2 linked regions of the Tribolium castaneum genome follow. The protein of the gene in region 2 binds, or shares a complex with, the protein of the main gene of each other region. Links are inferred from orthologs where the notes say so. Each region holds a gene or a part of one and is shown on either strand. Other genes may lie near its edges.

Evidence for each region.
Region 1: E(bx) (region 2) and Nurf-38 share a complex: the UniProt entries of both Drosophila melanogaster proteins name them as parts of the NURF complex. The link is inferred for Tribolium castaneum from reciprocal best matches to the Drosophila melanogaster genes E(bx) and Nurf-38.

Annotation. Positions count from the first base shown.
Region 1 is NC_087397.1:12,922,303-12,926,798, reverse strand, and holds Nurf-38 (inorganic pyrophosphatase), read right to left. Parts: upstream 2,876-4,496; 5' UTR 2,764-2,875; coding exon 2,595-2,763; intron 2,505-2,594; coding exon 2,389-2,504; intron 2,337-2,388; coding exon 2,066-2,336; intron 2,019-2,065; coding exon 1,801-2,018; intron 1,744-1,800; coding exon 1,685-1,743; intron 450-1,684; coding exon 340-449; intron 294-339; coding exon 244-293; 3' UTR 204-243; downstream 1-203. Other genes in the region: CYP6BQ13 (cytochrome P450 monooxygenase), read left to right, coding at 3,145-3,186. UniProt on the Drosophila melanogaster protein: Component of NURF (nucleosome remodeling factor), a complex which catalyzes ATP-dependent nucleosome sliding and facilitates transcription of chromatin.
Region 2 is NC_087395.1:15,338,250-15,341,380, forward strand, and holds the end of E(bx) (nucleosome-remodeling factor subunit NURF301), read left to right. Parts: intron 1-460; coding exon 461-650; intron 651-704; coding exon 705-1,126; intron 1,127-1,177; coding exon 1,178-1,373; intron 1,374-1,804; coding exon 1,805-1,889; intron 1,890-1,941; coding exon 1,942-2,147; 3' UTR 2,148-2,581; downstream 2,582-3,131. Other genes in the region: 4-aminobutyrate aminotransferase, mitochondrial-like, read right to left, coding at 2,665-2,783, 2,829-3,131. UniProt on the Drosophila melanogaster protein: Histone-binding component of NURF (nucleosome remodeling factor), a complex which catalyzes ATP-dependent nucleosome sliding and facilitates transcription of chromatin.

The sequences.
Region 1 (4,496 bases), on a different chromosome or scaffold from region 2:
AATGGACGTGGGACAGTTCGTTAAAACACAGTTTTTATATAAATTATAATTTATTTCTTATAAGCAAAAACACCATGCGCTACACTCTTACCCTTAGAAAAAAAATAGAAACAATAAATGCACGGGTGTAACAATTTTTAATATCTTCTTTATTTTAAATGGACGTAATGCCATTTATCCACTGTAAAAAAAAACACAACATATAAGTATTATAAAACATTTAATAGAAGAAGAGAGTGTTTATTAAAGTCTACATTTATTGCACAGTCTTCTAACAAAATAAACTCTATCAACTAAAAAATTAAATTAAAAAGAAAACAAATTTTATGAGAGACTTACCAATAGGTTCGACCTTTTGCGGTTGCGAATAAACTGGAGTTTTGTTAATCACGTCTTTAGCCTCACTGACTGATATTTTGAATGGATTGCCCTCAATAGTAGTGTTGACACTTGAAAAAGTAATTAAAGCAATCAATTAATGGCTTAATTACATTTTTATTAAGGAAATTTAGAAACCGAGATAAAAATTACTTCCGCCACTGGTTGTTATATATACGAGAATTTTGCACATTTTTCAATCAAAAACTCAAAAACTAAAATTAGCAAACTACATATTTAAATACAGCCTGTTAGGGAATGGTTTAGCAAAATTTTAAAGATAGATAGACAATAGCAAAACAAATCGATTAAGTAAACTTTTTGTATATCGAAAAAGCATAGATTTCCCAAAAAATTTTAGCCTTCATTAAGAACTCATTTATTTTGCAAGATCTTGTCAAAACACGCCAGAATAAAATACAAAAAATAAATGCTTTCTGGCGTTCCAGCAAAATCAAGATCGTTAGAGAACTAAAAAACAGAATTAAATAAAGAATTAAACAAGTGAAAACAATAGTAAATTTGAATGTTTTTGTAGAAAAACTATAAATGGGGTGATTTGTTTGGAATGTTGAACTTGAAGTTTTTTGCATATTAAATGCAATTCCACTTTTATCACAAAAAAAGATATCAGTTATTTACTCGAAAGTGGCTATTCATTAATCATGAATTCATTGCATTCGTTTTGAAAACGTAAGTTAATTATTACGAAATTAATTATTAGCTAGTTTTTTAAACTAAAAATTTACAAAACAAATAGTATAAATCTGATGCTTTTTGTGTTCAAACGCCTCCTTGAGTAAAATTTGGACGAGGAATATTCGGTACATAATTTATCAAAAAATAGTGATAACTTTAAAATCAACTCAAATAATTGCAACATAAACAAAAAAAGACAAAAAGGTCCACCTCACTTTCTGCTTAGGTAGCAAATAAATCAGTTGATATTTTATTTCAGTACCAATTGGTTATGACTTCATTTAAAAAAATACAAATAATTAAGATTACGCTTTATCATTTACGAATCATAAATTAAAGCAAAGCACAGCGCAAATAATGATGTTCAAACAATAAATAGTAGATTTACGGAAAAATTACTGTTCATAACAATGGGATCTACCTTCAAGTATAAAAATAATGGCAACAAAGATAACTCTTGTCATGTTTTAAAAGTTTCAGCATTCAATCAATATGAAACAAACAATTTAGCAACCTTGTAACTTATCAGTTTTAGGTAAAAACGCCGTAATCAAATAACATAATAACATAAAAAGAAACACTCAATGTCACCATAACTTTTACGTACCAGGAAATGCCCTTGGCATCAACTTCTTTATTGACCAAAGCTTTCCAGAAACGGTGTACCTATAAAAAATGCATCAACTTAATAACACTAGAAAATCCTTGGAAATAGATCAATACCTCATCTACCACTTTCAGCGCAAAACTCGCCGGTTTCGCTTCGCCATTAAAAGCGAACTGATTTTCAGGTTTACCATCTGGAATTTTATAGATTTTAAACCATTCAACTGAGGCTTTCAAAAGACCAGGGAAATGTTTCTCTACATCACTAACATCATTCACTTGATCGGCTAAAGGATCCTTAACATCTATAGCAATTAATTTCCAGTCTGTTTCTCCTGTGGATAAAATAATTAGAGGAAAACCCGGCACTTGTTGATTGTACCTTCGTCAATTAACGCAATGGTTCCTAAAATTTTCACCTGAAGGACTTCCCCCCGTTTCGCAACCCTGTACCCTATTTCAATAACATCTATGGGATCGTTGTCCCCCTTGCATCCTGTACCATCATCAAGATGCTCGGGGTTTTCCCAAGTTTGGGGCAAAGCCCCATAGTTCCAAATGTAACCATGGTGCGGAAAACAATTGGCAACAAACCTGGGCTTACCCTTCTTCACATCTTGCTTGATGGGGTTCAAGATCTCCTTCATAGTAATCTAAGAGAAGGCTGGCTGATGGCTGTTTATCTTTTCGCCTTTTTAGACTTACCTCCATCTTGGCATTGGTCCACCTGGGGACCTCCACAATCATGTTGAAAATTTTTTTGGTGCTGTCCACCACCAAAGGGACATCGTGAAGTGGCGAAATTGGTCCGTTTTGATTTTCTGTTAATTAAAAGTTCTATGATAAGGGTCGGGGGTCAAAGATGAAGATCAAGGATTGTGAGAGGTTATATTATATGATTTTAGTCTTACGGATGTAAACTCTGTAGTCTGGAGAGTAAGGAGATCCTCTTTCAACAACAGAATAGGCCATATTGAAACAAATGCCGGAGGACGAAAAACACCGCAAACTGTGACTTTGGTGTGATAATAGTTTGTGCAAGCCGCCTGCGAACACGCGTGAGAATTTATGGACGACCATTGCCCCCTCTATCCAAAATCACTGCACTAACTGTTGAACTAATCAATACAAAATAGGCGCGAAATATTCAAAATTTGGAAATACGTACAGGTACAGATACTGTACTCACCAACTACAATAAACAACAAAACTTATCACATTTCACTGGCTTAAAATTAAATAAACTAAAAGTTACATAACAACTAATTAAAAACTATTGGTCGAAAAAATAAATATTTGTCTAACATTGACCATGGTGAGTAATTTGGAGTTGTTTTTCCAATTACAGATTGATATCAGTTTATCTTAAGAGTTTCTGGTGATAACGATTTTCGATTAAATTCCAAGGTTCAACAATTCGCACGTAGGAAACTTATCAGTCTTATCACCTTGAAGTCAGCAATGCGTTTTGCTCACAGGTTTCGCTCGTTGCAGAAATCTTCGGTAAACACCAATTTACTACAACTAGTGTTAGAAGATGGCGCTGTAATGGCGACAAAAACTCATCATCCAGTGTTGCCAAGTCTGGTGAAATGTCGCCAATTGCATTTCAAAAATTCTCGAAAAGTAAAAATTACTAAATGTAAAACAAAATTTTCCAAAATTTTGTATAGTAATGTTCTAAGTGTTTTTAAGTATATTCGGTTCACTTCCATTAAAACCATTGTGGTGGAAATTGGATACTCTTAGTATTAAATTTTATACGAGTTGTCATGGTAACAGGTTAGTCAATTCCATCACAATGGTTTTTATGAAAGTGAACCGAAATTACTGTTTTCAATCCGATCGACTCATTTAGTATGCAAAATTAAAATACCTCTGCAACTACATTTTAGAAAAAAAAAAAAAATTTCAAAACTATCCACTCATCCAGATATGTCTAAAACTCATTTGAAAAAATTGTTGTAAAAAATCTGATGAGATTTTACGTGTTTTACTTAATTTACTTGGTTTTTTGTGCGTAAAATTTTGTTAAAATAACCACTCAATTTGGTCGGAAAACGGTGTTATTTTATCTTTTGTACACTTAAAATAGTAAAACACGTTTATGAACTAATGTTTTTGTAAGATATCGCACAACCAAAACGAAAATGTCAAAAACAGTATTATTTTTACATTTTATTACGCTTAAGTTAAAACCAATTAGAGAGATTTAAATGTAATTTTGCAATTCATTCGGTGCGTATCACAATAAACTCAAAAATTATTAAATTCATTTTTTTGAATTGGCAACATTGTTATTATCATTCATTGTTGAATTATAATTAGTCCACGTTTGCCAGATCAGTTTTTTCACTTACAACCGCGGATTTTTCCACCACTTACCGCATTGTAATAAATGACGAAATTCAATGAACTTTCACAAAAGTGACAACAGTGGAGATATTTACAAATTATTCTAGTGGGATGTAATTACTACCAAGGACGTTAGATGTTAGTTAAATAACAAATGTATTAGAATTTATCTTATTAGTGATGTTTTATTGAATAAACAGAATATTTTTTAAGAAAAAAAAATGTAAGTCTAAATTACTGATAAAAAAACTATAATTTGGCAAAATTGTACGAGTTTTTAGTATTGATGAATCTGATAAACTGATAAACTTTACGTTATCTTATTTTAAGTTATCGTAGGTTGAGAGAATTAAATCTTCGTACTTGTGCACCTAATTTCCGGCACAAGACATAATTTATGGAAAAATAAAAAAAATATCTAGAAGAAAAAAACAACACCAACAGTATTTGTAGAATCA
Region 2 (3,131 bases):
AATTTTTTGTAATAAATATTAATGAATTGAAAATACTAATATTCATAAAACAATAAACATTAATTATATTAACCGAAATTTTGAGGTTTCTCTGTCATGCGTGTGGTCATTCTTAAATGTTTTGTTTAAAAAATACGTAAAAAAAGTAGAAACGTAGCATTAGCGCTTTGTTAAAAAATAATAAGAATTTTTTTAGTTTCTTGGTCGTATCATAACAGTGCATCATTCTTCTACACGTTTCTTACAATATTATCAATATTTAAGATTTTAATAAAAAAAATATCAAGTAATTTTATGTTGGCGCAAATTCTAATTATGTAAAAATAGAAAAATTATTTTTAGTATAGTTGCCTCTGTCGCACACTTTGTGTCTTTTTTAGCCTTAAAAAATTAATTGCATTTGCTGCTCTATTTTGGTATTGTTAATTTAAGGGCGCGTGTGATTTATTTTTTATTTTAGTGAATCCAGCAAGGAGAAATTAATTTCGCCCCGCGCCCGCGTAAAATTAAAAGAGGCGGCTGAACCCGATCGAAAAGTAACCCAAAGAACAAAAATATTGGTCAGTTTATATCGCCAGAAGGAATTTCTCAAGAAAGACATTTTACGAAAGCGGGCCTTACTTGAAAAGGAATTACAATACGAGATTCAGGTAAATTGAATAAAAAAATTATCTTATTTTATATTGATTGTGTTGGGATTGTAGAAAGAAGTAGCAGAGGAATTAGCTGCCCGGACAAAGATCGAACGAACCAAACAAGATGAGGTTCGCACTGGTAGCAGTAAACGAAAATCGGCAGCGACGGCCACCACGGCGGTCATCCCTCAAGCCTCCAAAACTGCTCGTCACAAGAAGGGCCAAAAACAGACTCATGCCGTCCCATCGACGGCGGCACAAAGAAGTGGCATTAAAAAGGAAAAATTGTATTGCGTTTGTCGGACGCCGTACGACGAGACGAAGTTTTACGTCGGTTGCGATTTGTGTAATAATTGGTTCCACGGGGATTGTGTGGGAATCACCGAAGAGAGTAGTCGAACGCTGACTGAGTTTGTCTGTGAGGAGTGCAAGCAGGCCAAAGATACGGAAAAATTGTACTGTTTGTGTCAGCAGCCATACGACGACTCACAGTGAGTTGGCTTGGGTGAAGTTGAGTTCAGGCGTGATTCGTTTGTGTTTAGGTTTTATATCTGTTGCGACCGGTGTCAGGATTGGTTCCATGGCCGCTGTGTGGGGATTTTGCAGTCGGAAGCCGATAATATCGACGAGTATGTGTGTCCAAGGTGTCAGAGGAATTCGTCGGTGAATTTCGCAAATATGAAGGATTTGTCGCAGAAGGACTTTGAGGCGTTGAAAAAACTAATCAAACAATTACAGGTGAGGACTTTTTACTCTAGTTATAAAAACTGCTTACAAAAAATTCGAAATAATTGTTCCCATTTTAAATTTTTCATGGCAGTTATAGTGCATTCTATTTTGTTTACCTCAACACTTTTTTACCTGAACCGAAAACTTGTGCACCGTAGATTTCTGCACAATGTAAAACGTTTTCGTACAGCCTGGTTTCTTATAATGCTGTTGTCATTTGTAATATCGAAAACCATTTGAATTCAAAATAAAGGTAAAATATTTATTACTTTAGTAATCGTTCTTTTGTTATTTTTGTTTTTCATTCGTTATTATTATTTTTATGTTTTTTAATATTATAGGAACACATACTATTCTTATCGTATTACTTTAAAAAATATATTTATATTCATCTCTTTACATTTTTTAATAAAGGTTTATTATTATTTTTGTTTGTGTAGGCTCATAAAAGCGCTTGGCCGTTCATGGAGCCGGTGGATCCGACTGAAGCTCCCGATTATTACAAGGTGATTAAGGAGCCAATGGGTAGGTCCTTATGGTTTGGTTTTGGCGGTTTAGTGATTGTCGCTTGTTTCAGACCTCCAAAAAATTGAGAATAAAATCAATGATCAAAGTTACACAAAGTTGAGTGAGTTTATAGGGGACATGACGAAAATATTCGATAACTGTCGATACTACAATCCAAAGGAATCTCCGTTCTTCAAGTGTGCAGAGTCTTTAGAAGCTTATTTTGTGAATAAGATAAAATGCTTAAGAGATAAATTTATGGAGACCAACAAATGATTCGTTTCTTAAATGAGCTTTTTTAATTTTAGGCAATAAGTGCGTACACGGGATTTCAAGTTGATTGGTAATAGATCTCAGCGTAGGAATTGTGTGACCAACTTGAAATCTTGACTTTTTTGTATATAAGTTGTGAATATATGTACGAATGCGATTTAAGTTAGATTTAAATAGTTACGACATATTTTTAAAAGCTCTGTATTATTTATATTTAAATTAATAAACTTGTTTAAGTTTTTTAAATTATTTTCGGAGTTCATGATGTAGTGTATTTATATAAAACGTGGATATATAAAGCATCTATTCAGATATAGTTAGTGCCATTGTAGATATTGTGTTATTTAACAGAGTCTTCTTATGTTTGCACATATGAAATTTTTATATTTGGTCGGTATTATATCGACTTGTAACAGTAAATATAATATTTACATTAACTGCGTTTCATTCCCTAATCGCTGTTTTAGGCGAAAGAAGAGGACTGACGCAAGTATAATTTTTATTTTGTTTAATTATTACATTAGTTTTCCCTCAGGACCTGTCTGAAGCGCTCCAGGAACACATCGGCGTGGCGTTCCTGGAAAATGAGCGACGGTCTCAGCCTCAAAGAGTGATCCCCACAGCCCCCCATCAAAACACCTGAAACCGAAACATTACCCAGTCCTCAAGCAAACAAACACTAACCTTTCTGCTTCATTTTCGCAATAATACTGTCTCGCAAAGCGGGCGTGTGCGCATTCACGGCCAAAAACGTGCCACGTCCCCTGGTGGAGTTAATTTTTTCAGGAAATTCAGCCTCCAGTCTCAACAAGCCTTTCTTCAACTTATCCCCGACTTTATTAACATTATCCAGGAGATTCTCATTTTTGATAGTCTCAAGACACGCCTCCAACAGGGCGATTTTCCCCGGATCCCCCATCCAGGTATTGAAAATCCTGTAGGGCTGTTTGGGCCTCAAATCAACCGAATGGTAGTACCCCCCTGTCA